Linked DNA regions of Callithrix jacchus. The protein of the gene in region 3 purifies or fractionates together with the protein of the main gene of each other region. This does not show direct contact. Links are inferred from orthologs where the notes say so. Each region holds a gene or a part of one and is shown on either strand. Other genes may lie near its edges. The genes, in order: RITA1, MAML1, RBPJ, FHL1, NOTCH2 and FBXO42.

Region 1 (3,957 bases), on a different chromosome or scaffold from region 3:
GTGTGCTTATGAGAGGAAGAGACACCAGGGCTACGTGTGTGCATACAGAAAAGGCCCTTGCATGTACTTGAAGGATTAAAAAATGAGAGAAAGCCCTATGATGCCAGTGAGAACGTGGGCAACTGCAAGCCAAGGAGAGAGGCCTCAGGAAAAACCAAACCTGCCAACACCTTGATTTGGGCTTCCAGCCTCCAGTCTGTCACAAAACAAATCTGTGTTGTTTAAGCCACCCAGTCTGTGGTACTGTCACGGCAGCCCTAGCCAACTACCGTGCTAATCATCTTTGTCTAAACCACTGGTAACAATAAACAGGACAGAGCCCTGTAGCTCACCACTAGATACCTCCCTCAGGCTGATATTAATCTGAAACAGTCCAAATAATCTAATTCTAATCTAATTAATTAACAATAACAATTTGCATTAGTTACTATTTTTCTAACTTGTTCAAGAAAATGCAGCAAGACCCATTTTTAATTTTTTATTTTTGTTTTGGAGGCAGGGTCTCGCTGTCATTCTGGCTGGAGTGCAGTGGCGTGATCTTGGCTCACTGCAACCTCCGCCTACTGGGCTCAAGTGATCCACCTCAGCCTCCCTGGCAGCTGCAAATACAGGTGCACACCACCACGCTCGGCTAATTTTTGTATTTTTTAATAGAGACGTGGTTTTACCACGTTGCCCAGGCTGGTCTCGAACTCCTGAGCTCAAGTGATCCCACCTTAACCTCCAAAAGTTCTGGGATTACAGCATGAACTACCCCACCTGGCAAGACCCATTTTCAAAATGACTTCAGAAACACCACATCTATGCCATTTCAAGGATCAATCACATTAATATTAATAACCTTATGCAAATTTCTGTGTGATCTTACGCATCAGCTGACTCCTCTGGGCCTCAGATGTCCAGTTGTGACACTTGGGGTTAGGGAGTCCACCATCACAACCATCAACACTGCCATTTATTAACAGCTTTCTAACTGTTAGGTTACTATGCAAAGCACTGCAGACCCCTCTCTCATTTAATCCATCAACAATCCCCCATTAGGAATCACTGGTCCTATTTTCCACATGAGTAAACTGTGGCTCAGAGAGGTAAAGATGCTTGCCCAAGATCACAGAGCACCAGGGCTATAACTGGAACCCAGGTGGCTACACTGAGTATAGGATTTGCATCTCCCCACCCCATTACCTGTATCTGTTCTTCTTCCTTGGTGTGGGGGTCGGGGTGCTGTCCCTTGAGGGGGTGGTCTCACAGCTCCCCTTTGCCCCCAAGACCTTCGATGTCTCCTTGCCCACGCCTCTGGTTCTGTTAGCCTTCTCCACCCAGGGAGGGTCAAAGTCTTGTGGGGCGGACCGGGTGCCTGCTGGGCTGCCAAACAGACTCTCATCCACATATGACGGCCTGACCTTGACCCGGTAGCCAGCCCGGCGGTGGTGCTGAAGGTGGAGGGTCTGCATCCCACTGATGGCCAGCTCCATGGGGGTCTTCATGCTGCCTGTGGTCCCTGGTGACAGCGGGTGTAATCTGCCGGGCAGGTCCTGCTTCTGAGGCTCCCTGTGAGAGGAGATCGGAGTGCTAATGGAGGAAGATTGGTAGTCTCTGAAGTTCTCATCCCAAGGGCTTAGTTCCCTCTCAGCCAGTCTCTCAAAGGGGAGTTGTCAACTTCAGGGGGTATGTCAGGAATTTCTTTGGCTTTTTATTTTTTTTTTACTTTTTTTGAGATGGAGTCTCACTCTGTCACCCCAGACCCAGGCTGGAGTGCAATGGTGCAATCTCGGCTCACTGCAACTGCAACCTCCACCACCTGGTTCAAACAATTCTCTGCCTCAGCCTCTTGAGTAGCTGGGATTACAGGCACCCGCCACCATGTCCTGTTAATTTTTATTTTTATTTTTAATAGAGATGGGGTTTCACCATCTTGGCCAGGCTGGTCTTGAACTCCAGACCTCGTGATTCACCCACCTTGGCTTCCCAAGGCGTGAGCCACCGCACCTGGCCCTTTGACTTTTTTTTTTTTTTAAGTCGTCATAATGATGGAGAAAGGGGTGCTATTGGCAATTATTTATAGACTGACTCAGGGTGAAGGAGAGGTGACACCTGTGCCCATTTAGGCACCAACCAGAAAACACACTATGGTGGTAGGGGAGACAGGCACTTTCCTATATCCTGTGTGTATTATGGGGATGGGGGCAATAACAGCCAGCGTGGATCCCATGCCTACCTCCTGCAAAGAGCTTTACAAGCATTGTTTCATTTAATCCTTTCAACAGCACTGTGAAGTAGCTTCGATTTTGTCCATTTTACGGATCACAAAACTGAGGTGAAGTCACATGGGTAGGTCACACCTATAAAGCTAAAACGGTGGAAGTGAAATCTGAGTCCAGAGATTGTGTACTTCACTACACTGCTATTGGGAGATCACCGCCGCCCCCACCTCCCCATATTCTGCGACTCCCAAATCAACGAACCGGTTAAAAAATGCCCGAGGTCCCTGCATTTTTGAGCTGTTCTCCTACCTGAGCATCTTGGCTCATAGGCATTGGGGTCCTCAGGTACCTCTCCCCGCGCCTTCTTCCCACCAGGTCTGGACTAGTCAACGAGGGCACAGAGGCGTTGGGTGCATCCGGAATCCCTGTGAATCTTCGGCCAGGAATGCCCGGGGCCCCGGACCCCCGGCAGCCCAGGCCGTACCGGTGTACCGCGCGCAGACCGACTCACCCAGGGAGCCGGCCCAGGCGACGTGTGAGCGACGCGCGCATCCAGAAACCCAGAACCCAGCAACTAGGGAGCAGGCAGCAGCACTGCGGGCGCGGCTCGGACCATTCGCGCCCGGAGATGGGGGGGGGGAGTCAGCCCAGGGACGGGCGTCACGTTCTTGACGCCCAGGAAGTTCCTAAACACGGAGAGGGGCCTCTGGTGCCATTCACTCAGGGGCGTGTGTACTAGGCTGCCCAGGGCCGCAGGCACTACCGAAAGTGCAGCCGGGGTGACGTGACCACCGCTCCTTCCCTACCTTCGCAATTAGTACGCGCCGCAGGCCCCGCCCCTTCCGCGTTCCCAGCGCGCGGCCCGAATGGCGGAGGGCAAGCGCCCCGCGGCCGGACTTCGGTCGCCGTCTGCTATGGCCCAGTGGAGGAAGAAGAAAGGGCTCCGGAAGCGCCGAGGCGCGGCCTCCAAGGCCCGCGGCAGCGACTCGCAGGACGGCAAATTTGAGATTCAGGCGGAAGATGACACCGGGGCCCGGAAGGTAGACACATGGGGCTGGGACGCACGTTGGGGCCCAAGAACCGGCTCCGGGAAGCGCCCCGAAGCCTGTTTCCCCAGCTGGGGAGTGGGCTCCGCAGAGGGTGGGGAGGGAGGCTGCCGGTCCGAGGACCGGTCTTGGGACCGCCGGCCTGAAGACGTGCCTCGGGGCTTGTTAGGCTAGGGGTCCCGTTGCAGGAGCCTGCGGGCCTTCCTGCGGGCTTTCGGTCGCGCGTCCCTCATTGGCTGTCTCCTGCTCAGGGGCGGATCCTGGTTTCCTTTCGCCCAATGAAAAGTGCGGGCGCAAAAGATCTGACTTTGAGAGTTTGGAGCTTTCTTGGGAGGTTGAATTAAGGGGATGCCGGACTGCGTGGCTTGCGACAGTGACCCCCCCAAACCTCTGGGAAACTAATTAAAAAAAAATTTTTTTTTTTTTTGGAGTCGGAGTTTCGCTCGTCACCCAGGCTGGAGTGCAATGGCCCGATCTCGGCTCACCGCAACCTCCGCCTCCTGGGTTCAAGCAATTCTCCTGCCTCAGCCTCCCGACTAGCTGGGACTACAGGCGCACGCCACCATGCCTAGCTAATTTTTGTATTTTTAGTAGAGACGGGGTTTCACCATGTTGACCAGGATGGTCTTGATCTCTTGACCTCGTGATCCACCCGCCTCGGCCTCCCAGTGTGCTGGGATTATAGGCGTGAGCCACCGCGCCCGGCA
Region 2 (3,968 bases), on a different chromosome or scaffold from region 3:
TGATACTTATCTTCTGTTCCTATGACCCCAATCCAAGGCCAAAGAACTCAGCTAGAAACACTTGGACTCCAAGTGGAAAGCATCCCTCTTCCTAGCAGAGACACAGAACACATCCACCATAGAGTTCAAACTCAAGAAATCCATGGGGTCAAGGTTTAACATGATAAAAAGACATCAACTTAACATGGCACATCTAATTATGTTCTGACACCAAAAGGAATGACTGGTAAGTTAGATTCAAGTTCTAACACACTGAGATTTAATTTCTCTTCAAAGAGCACGCCCAGTTTCCTTCACTGATTCAGGACTAAAAAAATCATATAGGGTCTAAACTCTTGGAATAACTTTAAACAAAAATTGAATCATTACTATATATATATATATATATATATATTTTGGAGACAAGAGTCTCCCTCCCTTGCCTAGGCTGGAGTGCAGTGGTGTGATGTTGGCTCACTGTAACCTTCGTCTCCCAGGTTCAAGGGACTCTCCTGCCTCAGCCTTCCAAGTAGCTGGGACCACAGGCACACACCACATGCCCAGCTAAGTTTTGTATTTTTAGTAGAGACAGGGTTTGACCATGGTGGCCAGGCTGGTCTCCAACTCCTGACCTCAGGTTATCCGCCGGCCTCTACTTCCCAAAGTGCTGGGATTACAGGCGTGAGCCACTGTGCCCAGCCCCCACTAATATACTTTCTAGGGAGTGTTCAAGGCAACTATTTGTGTATAAAACTATGATTTTTATGAGCTTTCATTATTTACTTCATATGTAATGACCACCAACTATTCCCAAGTACTACTTCCAGCTGGGCGCAGAGGGACTTCAGAGACCCCCCATCTTTAACAGAAAAAAAATTTTTTTTTATTTAGCCAGATGTGGTGGTATGCAACTGTGGACCCAGCTACTCAGGAGGCTGAGGCAGGAGAATTGAGGAGTCTAGAGCCCGGGAGGTTGAGCCTGCAGTGAGACATGACAGTGTCTCTGCACTCCAGCCTGGGCAATGAGGGAGCGGGGCGTGGGGGTAGGGGAGAACGCTGGGAGATAGTAAGCTCAACATACCCCTAGTTTGCAAATGAGAAAAGTGAAGATGAGAAGGCTTGACCAGTTGATACAATTAGCAATGAAATCTGAGTGGTTTTTTTTTCTGGCCCAGGAATCCAGGCTAGTGTGGGAGATAATGAGAAAAATAATTCAACCAGAGCAGATGATCTGTGAGGGACATTAAAAGATAGGTTAGGTCAGACTGGTCCCAAGAGCCAAACCAAAGACACTGAATGCATTCCTTCAAGCAACAGAAGGATTTCCAGCATTTCCAGAGGAAGGGAAAAGAAACTAAATGCCTAAAGACTGGTTGGTTAGTTAGGGAGGAGCACTGCAATAGTCCAGGTGAGAGATAATAAAGGTATAAACTTTTAAATACACAGAACAAAGTAGATTTTAACATTTGTTTTAACCTAAAATCCCCAAGAAAACCACTGAAACATTTTGTCTCTCTCTGTTTCAGGGAGAAAAACCTCTAACCAACAAATTTCAGGAAAATTTACTGAGAGCCCAAAGGGCATAATTTACCAACAATCTAACATCATCAGAGATTTTAAACAGGCCTCATAAATTAAAACTAAAATTCAACAATATTGCAGGAATCTCAAGTTCAGAAATTTCAGGCTAAACAAGAAATACTTATTTGCAACTAATAACATTTTACTACGTTTTCCAAAGATTTCTTGATTTTGCAAAGGAGTCTGAGTTGGTCAAATGAAGGCCAACTTACTTCCATATGAAAGCTCTGACCCTGCTTATAGCACAGGATCTAGTGAAGAGCAAGGAGCCAATAAATTGCAGAATAAATGAGGCCAGGCCTACAGTGCAGGAACTCCCTCCATCACAGACAACTCTAATGCTAGTCTATTTCGAATAAAGATCTCAATATCGCGGAATCAAGTCTGGAAGAAAAACCCTCCCGGTAGCCTTCGCCGCCTTCCCAGATCAGGCCTCCTACAAGGCCCTCACGGTGCTGTTTTCCCAAAGTAACGCCACCGTGCCACTTCCCGAAGATGACAACCTCTCAGCTCCCTGCCATGTTACCCTCCCTCCAGTCAGATCCAAGAGATGCGGGGAAGTCTCCCAGGGGCCCGATCCGCGTCAGACGAAGCGTTTTCGGGAGCGGGGACTGCCGCCACGACAAGCGCCTTCCCGCGCCCTACTCACCGCGGCCGGGCGGCCGTGCTCGGGGCCGTCGGCGGCGGGCGCCGGGGCTGGGGCGGCGGGCGGCGGGGCAGGGGCGGCGGGCGGCTGCCGGTGCTTGCCGGCGCGCTTGGCCTTGGCCTGGATGCAGCGCTGGTGCAAGGCGAAGGTGTGCTGGCGCTCCAGCTCCAGGCGCTCGGGAGACACGGCTTCGTATCGGGCCTCGCAGGTGCTGTGGTGGCGCCGGCACAGCTCGATGCGCCGGCGGAGGCGCTCCATGACCGCGCTGTGCCGCGGCAGCGCGAACTCCGCCATGGGGCAGGTGGGCAGCACCATGGGCCGCGGGCTGCACGGGCTGGGCCCGGGGCAGCAGGCTGGCACTGCGGGCTTCGCTCCCCGCGGTTACCCCTGTCCGCCTCACGGCCGCGCCATGACCCCGAGGGCAGTGGAGCTAGCTCGCGCGCGGCGGCGGATTTTCCTCCTGCCCCGCTTGGCCCGACCCCCAGCCGGCGCTTGCTGCCCACTTCAAGCCTCGGCCTGTCCCCACCGCCCCGACCCCATTGTTTTCCGTGCAGCCGCCGCCACCGCCATCTTAAAATTGTTTTCTGGGCTCTCGGAAGAAGGCGGGGCCTCGGTAAGAGACCTTGTGCGTCATGGCTGATGAGCAGGGGCCCCTACCAACCAGAGAAGGAATGAACCGGCCGCCCAAGGGCGTGGGGACGAGCACGCAAGAGGCGCGCTCGGGCGCCAGAGCGGTATTTAAAAGGAACTCTCAAGCGAAGGGCGGAGGGAGTCCTCTGGGCGGGCCTCAGTCCTAGGGACGGAGCTAAACATGACTGACAGGATCCCGTCCAAGAGGCGGCTATTGGTTTCCTGCACTTTGCCGGTTGAAGTTCCCTTCCGGCTCCCCAGAGGAAAGAGGAATCGGGCAGGCGGGTGAGGCGCAGCTGGCCAGTCCCCGTCGCCCGCCTGGCAGTATACAGATCATTAAAAAAAAATTTTTGGCTTTGATAAACTCGAAGTAGCTATTTTAACGTCAGTCGTTTTACTTTGACCTCATTCCTTATAGCCAGCCCCATAATTGGTCAGAATCGTCGAGTGGACTGGTAGTTTCCTCTTGCACCATCCCGAATCACTGGTAGTTTCCACCTATTTATTAAAGCCCGATAAAGTTTGAAAAGTGCAGTATTGGCCGGACGCGGTGGCTCACGCCTATAATCCCAGCACTTTGGAAGGCCGAGGCGGGAGGATCACGAGATCAGGAGTTCGAGACCAGCCTGACCAAAATGGTGAAATCCCGTCTCTACTAAAAATACAAAAAAAAAATTAGCCGGGCGTGGTGGCGTGCGCTTATAATTCCAGCTACTCGGGAGGCTGAGGCAGAAGAATCGCCTGAAAACCCAGGAGGCGGAGGTTGCAGTGAGCCGAGATGGCGCCACTGTAGCCTGGGCGAGAGGGAGACCAACAACAACAAAAAAGGGCAGTATTACTCACTACTTAAAAGTCCAGAAGATGTGAACAAAAGCATTAAAGGGAACTGGAAATGGAAAGGATGATACTTCAGTCAAAACTTTTTTTTTTTTGATACGGAGTGGTGCTGTCACCCAGATCGGAGTGCAATGGCATGATTTCGGTCCACTGCAACCTCCGCCTTCAAGCGATTCTCCTGCTTCAGCCTCCCGAGTAGCTGGGACTACAGGAATTCGCCACCACACCTAGCTAATTTTGTATTTTTAGTAGAGATGAGGTTTCTCTTCTCCATGTTGGTCAGGCTGGTCTCGAA
Region 3 (4,163 bases):
CCCTCTGTGAATATATAATCAAAAGAATGGCAAACACATACACACATCCCTAAAACCTTGAAAACAACTTAAAAACTTGAATTTCCTCCTATTTGAGAACTCACTGTCCTCCAAATATCAAAGTTCAATTCAACTCTACATTTTCGGGGCTGTGATGTCAGCAGGAAGACACCAGTTTCTAGATATTGCCAGGCTAAGGCTGGTAAAGAAACCACATCAGGGCCAATCTGAAACGTGTTTGGTTGAAGAATGTAATCAGGAACTCATTGGATGAATGATCCAAAAGGAAGGGATGCATTTAAAACAGTAGTCACTACAGCACCTGCCGCAGTAATTTGTAAAATGGGATATTTTAACAAAAATATGGAAAGGTGAAGGAAAGCAAAAAAAGCCATATTAGTGAGAGGAAAAAAGAGACCAGAAACTGATTTGTGGGATTACTTCAAAAGGCTAAGAAGAGACTGAGAAGAAATTTTAGAAGTCGTGTCCTTAAACAGGAGCAAGAATCTATACAGGGCAGCAATGTGAGCACCCACGCAGCTATTTTTTTTGTTTTGTTTTTTGGTCTACCCAGCTCACAGGGCCAGCGGGTAGATTAGAAAGAAAACAACCAATTGCTAAAGGAGAGTAGCTAAAGGAATCAGAACTTAAACAAGTAAGCGAAGTGGTGGCCAGACTAGGTGACTCAAGGCATGACTCAAACCCGACTCTGGGGGCTGTCTGTCGCTCCCGGAGGCTGGGGGCCCGGCGTCTAGCACGTTTTAGGAAAGTACCAGGCTTGTGGAGGGCGACAGGAAACCTCCCCGTGAGATTGGCCTGGGGCTCCTCCAGCCCTAGACCCTGACCTAGCGACTTCCAACCTCCTAGCTTCCCCTTCGAAGCTCCCCACCCCTCGTCTTCCACCCAGCGTCACAGGGCGTGTGCGTGTGTGTGCGAGACGTCCGATCTCCTCCTCCGCTGCCCTCCGCCCCGTGCTCCCAGCCACGCGCCCTCCCGCCCCGCCTCCGCGGCGAGCCGCTCCCTTCCCACCCCGCCCGCGCCCGCCGCCCGCCGCCCGCCGCCAGCCTCCCGCCTCCCGGGCACGCGCGGCACGAACGGCGCCTGGAGCTCTAGACAAACACCTGTCCTGCTTGGGCTCCGCGAGATTTGGGGCGAAAGCCTAGGCAACAGTGGGCGCGTTCTCGCGAGGTTTAGGAAATTTCCCACGGCCGTGTTGTGTCTGAACCGAGTAGTGGAAGGCGGTGGGAAGGTGTAGCGTGAGACTGGACTGCCTGCATTGGCGCACGCGCAATACCGCTCGCGCGGCCGCGCCAATCCTGCAGCGCCTTCAGCAGGTTTTGGGAGGCGAATTCCAGTTCTCCGGGTTTTGGGGCTCCCTGCGGGAGACAGTGCTGGATCTGGGAATCTCTAGGAAAGGAAAGGGGAAAGATGGGGGGCTGCAGGTAGGAGGAGGGGGCGGGGTCCGGCCCTGCATCTTGCTGTTCAGTGCCCGGCCGGGCCCGGTTCGCCCGGCGGCTTCCGGGATCAGGCAGCCAGAAGCGCGATTCGAGCAGCCGGTCCGCTGTGCCAGCCCCTCGGGAGGCCCGGCTCCCTGTGCAGTAGTGGCCCCCCACACACATGGGCTCACACACCGTGGCGGTTGCGTTGGGGTCCTAGGGAGGCCACGCAGCACGCGAGCGGCGGGAGCTTTGATCGGGGCCTCTGACCCTACTCGGAGGTGGGAGAATGTGGCTCTCAATTCTAAGGCAGTTTTCCCATCTGGAAAGAACTATTCCGCGGTCTGGTGTGTGTCTACGAGGTGGCTATTAGGCGTGTCTTTGCCAGAAGCCTTTGCCTGACCTCATTTCACACCCAAGGAGAACGCGAAGGCGAGAGAGCTCAACTGCATAAGTTTTCCGTTTGCGGAGCTCTGGAAGGGCCTCCTCATTAGCATGTGGGTGTAATGAAAGAAGACAGTTCCCGACGTGTCACTTGCCCGAACCCCAGGCACTTCTGACGCTCCGGCATCTAACGCCGAGATTAGCATAAAGGAGGCGCCCAGGGAACTTTTGAATGAATGAAAAGAGCTGGGAACCCAGAGTGAGCGGGAAGCCGCCTGGAAAACACCCATTTGAGGAGGTGTTTCATCTAGGCCTGTGAAACGCGGCCGATTTTCCCAGGACCCCTCCTCCTTTCCCCTCGGCCCCGCCTCCTGACCCCTCCATTCCCTGTCCCCGTAGTAATCCCCTCCGGTTTTCCTCAGTCTCCACGTACGTCCCTTAAGGCGCGTCCCAAAACCCGGATAACCGGAGCGCTCCGCATGGACCAAACGGAGGGCTCGCCCGCGGAGGAGCCGCCTGCGCATGCTCTATCGCTTGGGTAGGTTTCCAGGGAAGACAGCGAGCAGGATCCCCTACTCCGCGGGCGGCGCGAGGCATCTGGCTCTTCGCGGCGGCTGCGAGGGGAAAGGGAGCGCGGGGGCTGGGTGGATCGAGGAGTGAGGAAAAAGGGAAGGGGCGGGGGAGAGGGACCAGGGAAGGCGTCGGGGCGAATCTCGCGAGGGTTGGAGTTTTGGCGAGAGTTTGTGGAAGATGGCGCCTGTTGTGACAGGGTAAGTCTGAGGGAATCGGAGCGCTGGGAACCGGGAAAGTTGCGGGCGTCTGGCAGCCCGCGGCGGGCGGCAGGTTCGGGGGCCGGGGCGCGCTTGGCGTCCAGGGGCCCGCGGGGGCGGCGTCGCATGCGCCGAGCGCTGCGGCGGCGGCGTGTGGTCGTGCGCTGCCGCTCTGCGCTGCTGTGGCTCGGGCTCCGGCGCGTGAGGGCGGGCGGTGGCGGCGAGGCCGGCGGGTGCGGGCGTGAGTGCGGCCCGGCGCGCGGGGCCCGCGGGCGCTGTGCCTGCTCCACGCCTCCCACGGGCCCTGCCTGGGGGCCCCGTGCAGCTTTGTTCCTCGCGGCAGTCGTCGCCGCCTCGCCCCGCTGGTGCCCCCGGCCTCGGGCGCTTTGTCTTTCCCCGCTGCCCCCCGCGACTCTCTACCCCCGGCCCTTTGTTTCGCCGCCTTGGGCGCTTTGTCCGACCCGTGGCGCCCGGCATCCCATCTCCGTCTCCTTCCCTCCGCTGTCCTTCCTCCCATGCCCCTTTGTTGTGTTCCACTCTTTTCGGTAGCCCAGTGACCTACCACAGCCCGGGCACCAGATTCCTGCCTTAATGGTTCTTCCATTGTCTTTCTACTGTGGGTCCCCTCTCACCTTTCTCTCTGGTTCTGGATCACCCCCCGGGGCTTTGTCTCCCCCACGCACGGGCTTATTCTCTCCGCATCCCCTTCCCCTTCCGTCATCGGTTGATTTATCCACTACCTACGGTGTACGTACGTCTGCTGAACTGTCTCAGCCCCGGGGACTCCATCTGCTGCTGCTAAGTGCACACAGCCTCAACGGTTTGTTGTTGTTTTGTGGGTCTGAAAGATGCATGGGATACTTAGTTTCCTCCTCGTACCTCTTTCTCTCGGGATTTCTTGTGCCCCCCCGATACCTCCCCCCCACCCCTTTCTCTTGGGATTAAAGCGTCTCCGATTTTCATCGCCTTCTCTTTAGTGCCGTGGGTTGTTTTGCTTGGAAACAGTAGCTCTGCAAAAAGATCTGGTCTCTTGGTGGTTCTTGCGCCCCCCGGCCCCCGCCCCCTCCTGGTTCCTGACGGCCTAGGCCAAGGGCAGCTGTCTGTCGGAGTTTTGCATCTAGGTTACCTGAGGATGATTGGAGGGTATTGTAGGACGGTTAGAAGGAGGCTCAAGATGTATGTATGTATGTGTGTATATATATATGTATGTATGTATTTCTGTTAGTATTTGAGAATAGTTTCAGATATCCACAATGGGTATTCGTTTGACGTGTGAGTAGGAGTTGAGTGAATTTCCATGTTTAAAACTTGTGAGTGTTGGGGCGGAGAATTTCAGCATTTTCTAGAATCTAGATTTAGAGTTTATCAGTGACTCCTGCCTCATAAGGAACGGAGAGGCATCCTGCTTGGGAATTTTATGTAAATATTTTACTTTTTCTTAATCATTAGATAGTTTACAGTTAATGTGCTATTTGCTTTGTAGATTCGTGACAACCCTTCTGACCCACCATTGGGGTTGAAATAAGGACTGCACCGAAGAGTGCAATTTCTGGTTGATGAATACTGCTTCTAG
Region 4 (2,158 bases), on a different chromosome or scaffold from region 3:
TCCCCCACGCCGCCATTGTCCCCCATGCCGCCGCAACCCTGCTATGGCTCTCCAGGACCTGAGAAGAAGCCGGAGCCCCGCCAAGGGCTTCCCTGATGTAAAGACCCCACGTTCCCATGCCACCGCGCTATTGCCCTGTGACTCGCACCGACCTCCCAGCATAACCAGTTTCTTTGATTTAGGTCAGGGCCATGGCATCAAAGTGGCCACCAGGAGGCAAACTTGGGCTGTTCGTGGGGTGTGCACTTACCGGGCCTCGAGGAGCTGCTAAGCTTCGATTTTTTCTATAAAGAACCACCACCCACGAGGGACAAGTCCTCTCTCCACCCGGATGCCTGCCCCGGAGGTTGGCGCTGGGAAACAGGGTGAGAGGCAAGCGTTTCCCGTGGCACACTGGGGGCTTCCTAGCTTTAGAGACTGGGTGGCTCACTCTTGACACAGTCCTTTTCCCTGAGGATGGCAAAAGTCTTCTCAAATGTACATTTCAAGGCTCCCCGGGGAGATGGGAAAATTGGAGGCAAGGGAAAGGGCCCAGGGCACGTGGATCGCGGCCGCGAGATGAGGAATGAAGTGATTAGCTTTGCTGATCGCAAAAACAAATGAACAGAAAACCAAAAAAAAAAACCCTGCCAACAGTCACCTCTGAACTAGCCTTCAGTTATGGGTTGTTACAATCCCAAGTTATCACTCTTCGGCCTCCCCTCCCACTTCCCCTACCCTTCTCCACCCTACCCCACCCCCCTTCTTTCTACCCTCCTCCCGCCCCTCCCCCCAGAATCCCCCTGCAACGTAGCATTGCCTGCCGGTGATGGCCGGCAGGTCTCAGGCTTGTGAACGCTTGGCATTGTTAGTCAACAGTAGTCAGGAAGTGTTCTGTATTGCAAAGCCTAACCTGGCCTGGGGACGAATCCAAACTCTTGGGGGACCTTTGGGATGACAATAGCAGGGGGAGAAGGGCATTCTCTGGGGGCCTTTGTGGATGAAACCGACGACAGGAAAATGAGAGATGGTTACCATGCGCAAAACCTAGCCTGGCAGACTTAGCAAGGACTCTTTAGCCTACCAGTGATGGGGTTCTTGCATCCAGCACACTTCTTGGCCACAAAGTTCTTGTAGCAATCCACGCAGTAATACTGGTCCTCCACAGCGGTGAAACGCTGCCCAGCCAGCTTCTTAGAGCAGGTAACACACACAAAGCAATCGGCATGCCAGGGCTGATCCTGGTAAGTGATTCCTCCAGATGTGATGGCCTAGACCAGGGAGTGTAGCACCGGATTCAGATTCAACAACCATTTTGTTGAATGCCTACTGTGTGCCAGGCACCGTGCTGGGCGCTTTGGTATACAATATCTCATTTAATCTCCACAGCAGCCATGGGAGGCAGGGGCCATTATTATCCCCAGTTCACAGATGAAGACACCAAGGCTCGGAGAAGGCGAGCCCCTATGCGAGGTTGCACAGCCCCTAAGTGGTAGAGGCAGGCCGTATGGGCCACCCGCACCACGGAGCTGAGCATGCGTACCGACAGCCGACTTGGCTGTGGCACTGCTTTCTAATCCATGGTCTCCTCATCTGTAAAATGGGAATAATAATTCCTACGTCACAGGACTGTCGTGAGGATGGAATGGGATAGTGTGTGTGGAAGTGCTCTGCAAACCATCAAACACTTCTGGAAACAGCGGTCAATGCCGAACTCCCTTGAAAGCATACCTTGTTGCACTTCACGCAATGCTTGGCAAACTTGGTCTCATGGCAAGTCACGCAGTAGAAGTCCTCCCCTTTAGGGAAGAAGCTTCCAGTCCCGATGACTTGCTTGCAGTTACTGCAGGTGAAGCAGTCTTTGTGCCAGACGGTCCCCTTGTACTCCACGTTTTGATCTCCTGCAGGAGGAAGCAATTGGATGGCCCCACTGACAGGCTCTGCAGGGTGCTGCATCCACTCAGCCCTCCTCCCCAGACCCCTAGAGGTGAGGGGATGCAGGCCCTGCAGTTACTGGCCTCACACTTCCAACTAACCTACCTGTGTTCTAATTGTGCTTGTGCCAACCCGGGATTTCTGTCATGGGCGGGGACCCCAGAATTATTATTTTAGGATCCGATGCCTGAATCCCCCATGCCCCCACCTCTATACCCTGCGTGCACTTAGACATTAAATCAGG
Region 5 (3,500 bases), on a different chromosome or scaffold from region 3:
TTGACATTACATATAGTAGCTTGAATTACCGGGTAGTTCCCAACACCATGATCTTTCCACTCCTAAGACTCAGAGAAGCTTAGGACCCTGCTTAGATACTTAAAGGGAGCAGGTCCAAATTCAAATGTGTTTAACCAAAGATCAGTTGATGCAGCTATGAAATGAAAAGTTGCAGCGGTCACAAGTAACGCCCTGCCCAGGGAAGCCCTGGTCATGTTCCTGCTCTGTTCTCAAGCTTCTTTCTTTCATAACAGGACATGAAGATGACCTCACCCTGCCTCAGAATAGAGGTCTTATCGCAAGAACTTACTAGTTACTTCTGGAGAGGGCAGCATGGAGACTTTTGGAAACTAAAATAGTTGTTTATATCCAGATGTGGCAGGATACTCAGATTTGAAATTTATCATGCATTTCCTGGGGTCTGTAGTTGTATTTCTTTTAGGGAGGGTGTGATCAGGTTCCTTGGGAGTCAGAAAATAGGCTATAGTCGTCTGTTTACAAACAGTTCATCAAGCGGAACCTGCTGTATCCTGAGCCCATCTTCAGCCATCTTTCCTTCCAGCTTTAAAGATATGCTGCCTTACAGTCTTGGAATTTTATGAAGAATGAGAGGGATTCTGCAGCCTGGAAGTTCCCTACATACACTAACATCAAAAGAGAAATAATCCATTATGAACTTCATAACTATTGAGGCAATATGGGACAGAATAAGTATGAACAGTCTGTCCACAGCCTCGTATTGGCCAAACTGCACTTGGAAAGCCGAAGAAGCAAAACTGGCTCCTTTTTCTTTCATTGGCTCTGAGGCTTTTTTCTCTGGGAACACTGACAAACATTTACAAAGTCAGGGGGAAGCAGGAGAAGGAAGGAATGGAGACCGTTTTGAATTAGTATCCCATAGCCAGGAAGTCGTGCTAGTGCATTTTCCACATTTGTGAATGAAAAAGAAATCACTTGAACACATTGAGCCAGTTATTGTGGGAAGCTGTGGTAGAGATGAACAGCGAGAGACTGGTGGTCCACCAAGCTGTGTCCATGTGGTGGCTGCTTTTGGTTAGCGGCTGCTGCTGCGATTTAAAGAGACAAACATCTATACCTCTGGCTGCTTGATCTGGTGGGCCAAAAACATTACTATTTTTACTTCATTTTTAAAGCTACCTTTTCTTTCCTAAGTGACCGCAGGCCAGATGGGGCCTACCTTCTGCTGTTGGCCAGGAGTCCCAGCTGTGCGGTGCCCTCGTCTCCTCCATGGTTCCGGTTGCCTTATTCTTTATCTTGGAGCAGTGGCCCCCAGGGGCCTGCTGTTTTAGAACTATTCCTAGAGGAAGTTAACTTCAGGAAAATTAAGCTGCGTTTTAGGGAATACCAGTTAGGTTACAGAAAGGCCACAAAGTGATTGAAACGAGGTATATCGCAGATGAGAGTTCTCTGTACTGCAAATCACCATTTAAATATATGGGCCTGGTATTGGCCTGGTGTAGCCTCTCCTATGAAGTAGATGACATTAACAAAATGCGGCAAATGGTTTTTTAACTGTTTCCTGAAACGTATGAAATCTAGTGACTTCGAAAAGCTGAAGTGCAATTTCTTGTTTTTTTGAGGGCATTTAAGTCACTTTTCTCACCCATCCTGTTGTGTGAGTTGGTGCTTACTGTGTAGGCAAGACAGAGGAAGGAACTGGCCTGAGCCAGTGATGGGCCAGGCATGTGGAGACCCAGCGAGTGTTTCCTTCCTTTGCTCAGATTGCCACAGGCGTAGGACTGAACTCACACCCTTGCTCCACCTATGGGTGCTTCCTATCCCAGCAAAGTTTGGTCAGTAACTTGGAATGACTACTTCTGCCTTTTAAAACCCATTTTTATTTTCTGAGGCCGGCACTGTGAAACCTTCATCGATGTGTGTCCCCAGATGCCCTGCCTGAATGGAGGGACTTGTGCTGTGGCCAGCAACATGCCTGATGGTTTCATTTGCCGTTGTCCCCCGGTAAGTGCCCTGTTGCTCATAAGGGGCATTCTCTCTTCCATACAATATCTGTGACAAAACTGAGATCAAACCTGGTTTTATCAAGCTTTGAAATGAGATTTATCAATTGTAGATCTTTCAGAAGAAAATGCTTGGGTTTTTCCATTTAAAGCTGTTTATAAACAACAGAACAAAACAAAAAACAACCTAATTAAATAAAAAGAACTGTTTAGACACTTCCTGAAACAGTGAACTTCCCAGTCCGTGACTGTCAGGCTTAAGAAAAACTAAGGGGAAACCACACAAAGTGGTGGAATGCCCCCTTGATGATAGGGCTGATGTTTTTGACTTCTCGGCCCCATGCTGGCGGGGAGTCTCACTGCCCCGCTTGTGCCGGAGTTGGTGGAAACGTTGCTCTGCTGTTCTTTAGCGGGAACCATTTGGAAGCAAGTTGTCTCTTGAACCAGAGGGAAGCTTAATTTTAGCTCTTTGCTCTACCCAGCCTTTTATCATTGCCAGAGACTGAGACCTCCCCAAAACAAGAGATCCCTATGCCTGGGGAGGTGCTGAAATGAAACCTGTCTAGTAACCTTGGCTTGGGCTGAGCAGGAAGTACAGAAGGGAGTGAGATGTGGAGGTTTTCTAGAAACCCGAAACTTCCAATGTGACTGTTTCCCTACCAATGCCATCCTTATTTCCTCACTGATTTCCACAGGGATTTTCCGGGGCAAGATGCCAGAGCAGCTGTGGACAAGTGAAATGTAAGAAAGGGGAGCAGTGTGTGCACACCGCCTCTGGACCCCGCTGCTTCTGCCCCAACCCCCAGGACTGTGAGTCAGGCTGTGCCAGTAGCCCCTGCCAGCACGGGGGCAGCTGCCACCCTCAGCGCCAGCCTCCTTTTTACTCCTGCCAGTGCACCCCACCATTCTGGGGCAGCCTCTGTGAACTCTACACGGTGCCCCCCAGCACCCCTCCTGCCACCTGTCTGAGCCAGTATTGTGCTGACAAAGCTCGGGATGGCGTCTGCGATGAGGCCTGCAACAGCCATGCCTGCCAGTGGGATGGGGGTGACTGTTCTCTCACCATGGAGAACCCCTGGGCCAACTGCTCCTCCCCGCTTCCCTGCTGGGATTATATCAACAACCAGTGTGACGAGCTGTGCAACACGGCCGAGTGCCTGTTTGACAACTTTGAATGCCAGGGGAACAGCAAGACATGCAAGTAAGAGCTTCACGTTCTCCAGAAGCTGCAGGGGACTGTCACTAACACACTTGAGTTTCCGGTTCTTGCTCCTAACCACTCCAGTGCTTCAGCCTCAGCCGCCTCTGCTTTTCAGATGGTGCCAGCCTTGTCCCATCGCGCACTACCCTGTGCTCTCCCTTGCTGACAGAGGGCCAGGAATGCTCATTGCATAGTGACCCTCTCTCTCTGCCTATCTCTGCCTTCTCACCTGCTGCCTTCGTGACCTCCTGGGGGATATAACTTTTGGAAGTGGTGTTTCCCACTTCAGGCAGCCTCTCACATAACCTGCCTGCAGG
Region 6 (4,093 bases), on a different chromosome or scaffold from region 3:
CTTTCCTTGTCTACCTCCCAAGCCATACTGTCTGCAACTTCAGACCAAAAGCTGTCTTATCTGTCTTATCTTACAGTTATTAGTACCTACTTCCCAAAACACCTGCCAAACAGAGGGCCTTTATTCGGTAGCTCATAAATAGGAATAATCAATTTTATATTTACCTTTTATTTTACATTTTACAAAGCACTTTCACAAACACTGTCTTTTTTGACCCACATTAACAATCATGGGAAGGGCTTTATTTAATCAAATGGCTTCTGGTTTTATAAACAGTTACTTCGATGACTAAAACAATCCTGAAATCACAAAGATAATTACATGTTTGTTCATCTTTGAGATAGCTTCTCCTTGGGATCTCAGTGTTCTCATAAAATTCATGTTTTGCTAGCATTTTCTTTGCTTGCTCTCGATAATAGGTAGGACTCATCCAGTTCTGAATCTGAAGGGTTTAAACTTAATAAAGCAATTATTAAAGACCCTTCTAGAAACCAGACAAGAACAAGCATCCTAAGCTACCTTTTTCTGATCCTGTTCTTTTTGTAACTGAGTAAGGTAAGGAATTGCAAAAGTCAAAATCTGGAGAGCAAATGATGTCATGGATGTCACGCAGTTGCATCAATAAGTGATGATGATTTAGCATAACAGTGCAACATATTATGCCAAGAAGCATAATGATGAGCCACCAGGATGTTTTACTGCATTAATTTCATGACTCTTTATTAGTGAATTGATATGCAAAGTAGCTCTCCAATTTTCTACCACAGAGAAGCTGACAGTTCAGATTTACATCTTTAGCAAAGACACTAAGAAAATCGACAAATTTCTACGGAAAAGTCTGATTTAAAAATAGAAAAGGAGGCTGGGCACGGTGGCTCAAGCCTGGCAAAGGTGGGGTATTGCTTGAGACCAGGAGTTTGAGATCAGCCTGGGCAACATGGTAAAACCCCGTCTCTGCTAAAATTACAAAAACTAATTAACTGGGCGTGGTGGTGCACGCCTGTAATCCCAGCTACTCAAGAGGCTGAGGCACGAGAATCGCTTAAACCCAAGGGATGGACGTTGCAGTGAGCCGAAATCATGCCACTGCACTCCAGTCTGGGTGACAGAGTGAGAGACTGCCTCAAAAAAAAAAAAAAAGGAGAAAGAGAGAGAAATGGTCAAATAATAACCGAAACAGTTGTCATTTCACCAAGGAAAATCTTTTTAAGATATACAGCATGCCCATGGATCAATGTGGATTGAATAATGCATTTATATTGGCATGTCAAAAGCAAATAGTTAAAATAACATACAATAGAAAAGACACCCAATCAGATTACACACATGAATACACTCAAAGTTAGCAATTAAACACAGCAACACCAATGTTCATAAGAGCTATAGACTTATTTCTAAATGTTCAATTGTAAATGATGGTACTTTCCAAATTTTCCTTCTCTTTAAATCCATGACGTCACCATTCTTAAGCACAAGTAAAGCCAATGTGTTACAAAAGGTATTTTGGTGTGTCCAAGCAAAAGCAATTGCCTCAACAATTCCCCACAGCACAGTCCAATGAAGCCATCATTCCTCAAGGAAGAGGCCACAAGGCTTCAAAACCGACTTCCCTACATGAGAAACACAAAGTCTCCCAATTAGCATTTAAACAACAACAAAAGTTGTTCTCCAAAAGGAACAAGCATAGTTACAATGTTGCTGCCGGCAAGTGAGAACTGGTAAAGCGTCAGATCTTCATCTAGATCCATCAGAATCCCACCACAGAAAAATCCAAAGACTCTGGCAATTAAGAAATGAAGCCTTTATTTTCCTAATAAAAGTCGGGAGATTTAACAGACAAAGCAATTGGCTATTCTGAATCTTAACAATCCGAAGGTTTCAAACGAATTCAACTGGCGCTGAGGTTACCCTGCAGAGACCATCAAGATCTCACAATTGCTTTCTCTTCGCTTACAAATTCGTTCCCACCCTCCACCGTTCCCTTACCACACACAATTCTCGCCAAGAGAAGTCTTCCACAGTCACAGCATGGATTGCTGTCTCAAGCAAGGAGATCCGCAGTTTCCATTTCTCTAGGGGAACACTCAACAAGCTAGGGGCTAGGAAAGGCCGCTTATTTTATTTCACGAAAACCAATTTCCAAATTATCCCTCTGCAACTGCAGCTTCAGTGATGCTGGCCCCCAGCCGCAGCCCCAATTTTGATGGGCACCCGACTCCCGGCTCCTCTCTCGCAAAGAAGTAAAAGGTTCGGAGGCCCGATGAAAGATTATCTGACACCCTAAAGCCATCCTTGCTCGGGCCACACATCCCTTCACTGCCCGGGTGAGGGGACGAGAATCACCCTGCTGGGGAGAGAGGGTGGGTTCGCTCCCAACCCAAGGGCTGGCTGGAAAGGAACTCTCCTCCTCTCCTCCTCACTCAAGGACGGCGATAGCAAGGCGCCCTGCCCAACCAAGACCGACCCCTGCGCGGGATGCGGGACCTGCGCCAGACCAGGGGCGCCCGCTGCCCCTTGCCAGCCCCGGGCATAAAGGGCAGGAGGCGCCAGCTCCCCATCGCGGCCCCGGGAGGAGGAGAGGCCTCACCTGGCCCAGCCCGCTCCAAGCTCTCGGGTTCGCTCCGGTGGCGACGGTAATGAGGGAGCCAGGGACAGGGCCAGAGCAGAGGCGCTGTGCCTAAGGCCGCGATAGCCGTGCTCCGGGCTCTTCACAGCTGGCGGGACCCCAAGCCACCCAGAGCCGCCATCTTCCTCCACTCAAACCCCGCCGCCGCAGCTGCTGCTCTAGCCGAGAGAAGACAGAGCAGAGCGCGCATGCGCAGGGGCGGGCACGAAGGACACACGCGCGCGCACTCACGTCAACGCGGCGGGCCGGCGCGGGGCGGCTAGGGGGCGGCGCCATATTGAGAAGGGCTGTGGCTACAGACCAAGATTCTGTGGAGGATGGAATCTTCCGGGGGTGCGAAGCTTCCGCACCCGTCTTCGCCGCGTCTCCAGCGTCGACCTCATAGCCGCACCCACCCTCCGCTGCAAATGTCTGGAGCACCTGGGTGGTTTTCCCTGTGATTTGAGACCAACCTTTAGCCAGGAATTAACTAAGTTCTACCCCGAGGGCCCGATGAGCACAGAGGTGGCGGATGTAAGTGCCCCTGGACATCCCCACGGGGAGGGAAACTCCGCCTGAGGTGTGCAAGAGAAGCCTCCCTTAATCGTAGTAGCCTTGTAGCAACCACTGTGTGAGGTGTTTTACTAGCTCCACTTTTCAGATGAGGAAACTGAGGCACGGAAAACGATCAGTTATTTGTCCAGAGCCACACACCTAGCAGTGGAGGTGGGGCGGCGCGGGAAACATAGGATTTAAACTCGGGCATGTAGGATTCCCAAGTTCCTTTACATCCTACTGGCTATCACCAAGGGATAGATTCCAGCAAAGCCCCCTCCCAAGGGAGCAACCTGGTGTGTAGGTGAGAACGAACCTTCACGAGCTTAGCCCTACATACAGCATGTGGTCTAAGGAAATGCCAGATGGAGTCAAGGGCTTCAGTCTAAACTCCGTAAGCAAAAAAAAAAAAAAAAAAAAAAAAACTAAGCCCCTCCCCACCACCACTACCACCACACCAAGCATTCTGAATGGACTTTCTCCTAGGCCAGGCCAGAGAGGTAAATTGACCAGGGCAGTCTAAATTTAACATGGTTCAGGCCATGACAGGAAGTGGGGGTCAGACATGCCTCATTATACCCTCCAGCACTAACATCAACACAACAGACCTTAAGACTGATTAACAATTGCAGGCCGGTTGCGAGGTGGCTGACACCTGTAATCACAGCACTTTGGGAGGCCAAGGCTAGCAGATCACGAGGTCAAGAGATCAAGACCATCCTGGTCAAAAAAAAAAGGTGAAACCCCATCTCTACTAAAAATACAAAAATTAGCTGGGCATGGTGGTACGCGCCTGTAGTCCCAGCTACTCGGGAGGCTGAGGCAGGTGAATCGCTTGAACCCAGGAGGCGGAGGTTGCAGTGAGCAAGAATGTGCCTCTCTACTTCAGCCTAGGCGACAGAGCAAGACTGTCTCAGAAAAACAAACAAGAGG

What was found.
Region 1: the proteins of RBPJ (region 3) and RITA1 purify together in Homo sapiens (affinity purification with mass spectrometry; 4 studies listed by BioGRID and IntAct, with this or other methods). This does not show direct contact. The link is inferred for Callithrix jacchus from reciprocal best matches to the Homo sapiens genes RBPJ and RITA1.
Region 2: the proteins of RBPJ (region 3) and MAML1 purify together in Homo sapiens (co-immunoprecipitation; 12 studies listed by BioGRID and IntAct, counting the BioPlex papers as one, with this or other methods). This does not show direct contact. The link is inferred for Callithrix jacchus from reciprocal best matches to the Homo sapiens genes RBPJ and MAML1.
Region 4: the proteins of RBPJ (region 3) and FHL1 purify together in Homo sapiens (affinity purification with western blotting; 4 studies listed by BioGRID and IntAct, with this or other methods). This does not show direct contact. The link is inferred for Callithrix jacchus from reciprocal best matches to the Homo sapiens genes RBPJ and FHL1.
Region 5: the proteins of RBPJ (region 3) and NOTCH2 purify together in Homo sapiens (affinity purification with mass spectrometry; 3 studies listed by BioGRID and IntAct, counting the BioPlex papers as one, with this or other methods). This does not show direct contact. The link is inferred for Callithrix jacchus from reciprocal best matches to the Homo sapiens genes RBPJ and NOTCH2.
Region 6: the proteins of RBPJ (region 3) and FBXO42 purify together in Homo sapiens (affinity purification with mass spectrometry; 3 studies listed by BioGRID and IntAct, counting the BioPlex papers as one, with this or other methods). This does not show direct contact. The link is inferred for Callithrix jacchus from reciprocal best matches to the Homo sapiens genes RBPJ and FBXO42.

Annotation. Positions count from the first base shown.
Region 1 is NC_133510.1:116,159,366-116,163,322, reverse strand, and holds the start of RITA1 (RBPJ-interacting and tubulin-associated protein 1), read right to left. Parts: upstream 2,801-3,957; 5' UTR 2,522-2,800; coding exon 2,514-2,521; intron 2,351-2,513; exon of another isoform or gene 2,219-2,350; intron 1,573-2,218; exon of another isoform or gene 1,552-1,572; coding exon 1,186-1,551; intron 1-1,185. Other genes in the region: ATP-dependent RNA helicase DDX54, read left to right, coding at 3,071-3,244. UniProt on the Homo sapiens protein: Tubulin-binding protein that acts as a negative regulator of Notch signaling pathway.
Region 2 is NC_133503.1:71,917,486-71,921,453, forward strand, and holds the start of MAML1 (mastermind-like protein 1), read right to left. Parts: upstream 2,801-3,968; 5' UTR 2,522-2,800; coding exon 2,210-2,521; intron 1-2,209. UniProt on the Homo sapiens protein: Acts as a transcriptional coactivator for NOTCH proteins. Has been shown to amplify NOTCH-induced transcription of HES1. Enhances phosphorylation and proteolytic turnover of the NOTCH intracellular domain in the nucleus through interaction with CDK8.
Region 3 is NC_133504.1:167,517,436-167,521,598, reverse strand, and holds the start of RBPJ (recombining binding protein suppressor of hairless), read left to right. Parts: upstream 1-1,363; 5' UTR 1,364-1,442; exon of another isoform or gene 1,443-2,242; 5' UTR 2,243-2,299; coding exon 2,300-2,358; exon of another isoform or gene 2,359-2,570; coding exon of another isoform or gene 2,571-2,590; intron 2,591-3,093; exon of another isoform or gene 3,094-3,410; intron 3,411-4,163. UniProt on the Homo sapiens protein: Transcriptional regulator that plays a central role in Notch signaling, a signaling pathway involved in cell-cell communication that regulates a broad spectrum of cell-fate determinations.
Region 4 is NC_133524.1:133,003,894-133,006,051, reverse strand, and holds part of FHL1 (four and a half LIM domains protein 1), read right to left. Parts: intron 1,881-2,158; coding exon 1,711-1,880; intron 1,251-1,710; coding exon 1,064-1,250; intron 451-1,063; coding exon 251-450; intron 1-250.
Region 5 is NC_133508.1:158,121,494-158,124,993, reverse strand, and holds part of NOTCH2 (neurogenic locus notch homolog protein 2), read left to right. Parts: intron 1-1,870; coding exon 1,871-1,983; intron 1,984-2,677; coding exon 2,678-3,183; intron 3,184-3,500. UniProt on the Homo sapiens protein: Functions as a receptor for membrane-bound ligands Jagged-1 (JAG1), Jagged-2 (JAG2) and Delta-1 (DLL1) to regulate cell-fate determination.
Region 6 is NC_133508.1:53,659,346-53,663,438, forward strand, and holds the start of FBXO42 (F-box only protein 42), read right to left. Parts: upstream 2,801-4,093; 5' UTR 2,588-2,800; intron 1-2,587. UniProt on the Homo sapiens protein: Substrate-recognition component of some SCF (SKP1-CUL1-F-box protein)-type E3 ubiquitin ligase complex. Specifically recognizes p53/TP53, promoting its ubiquitination and degradation.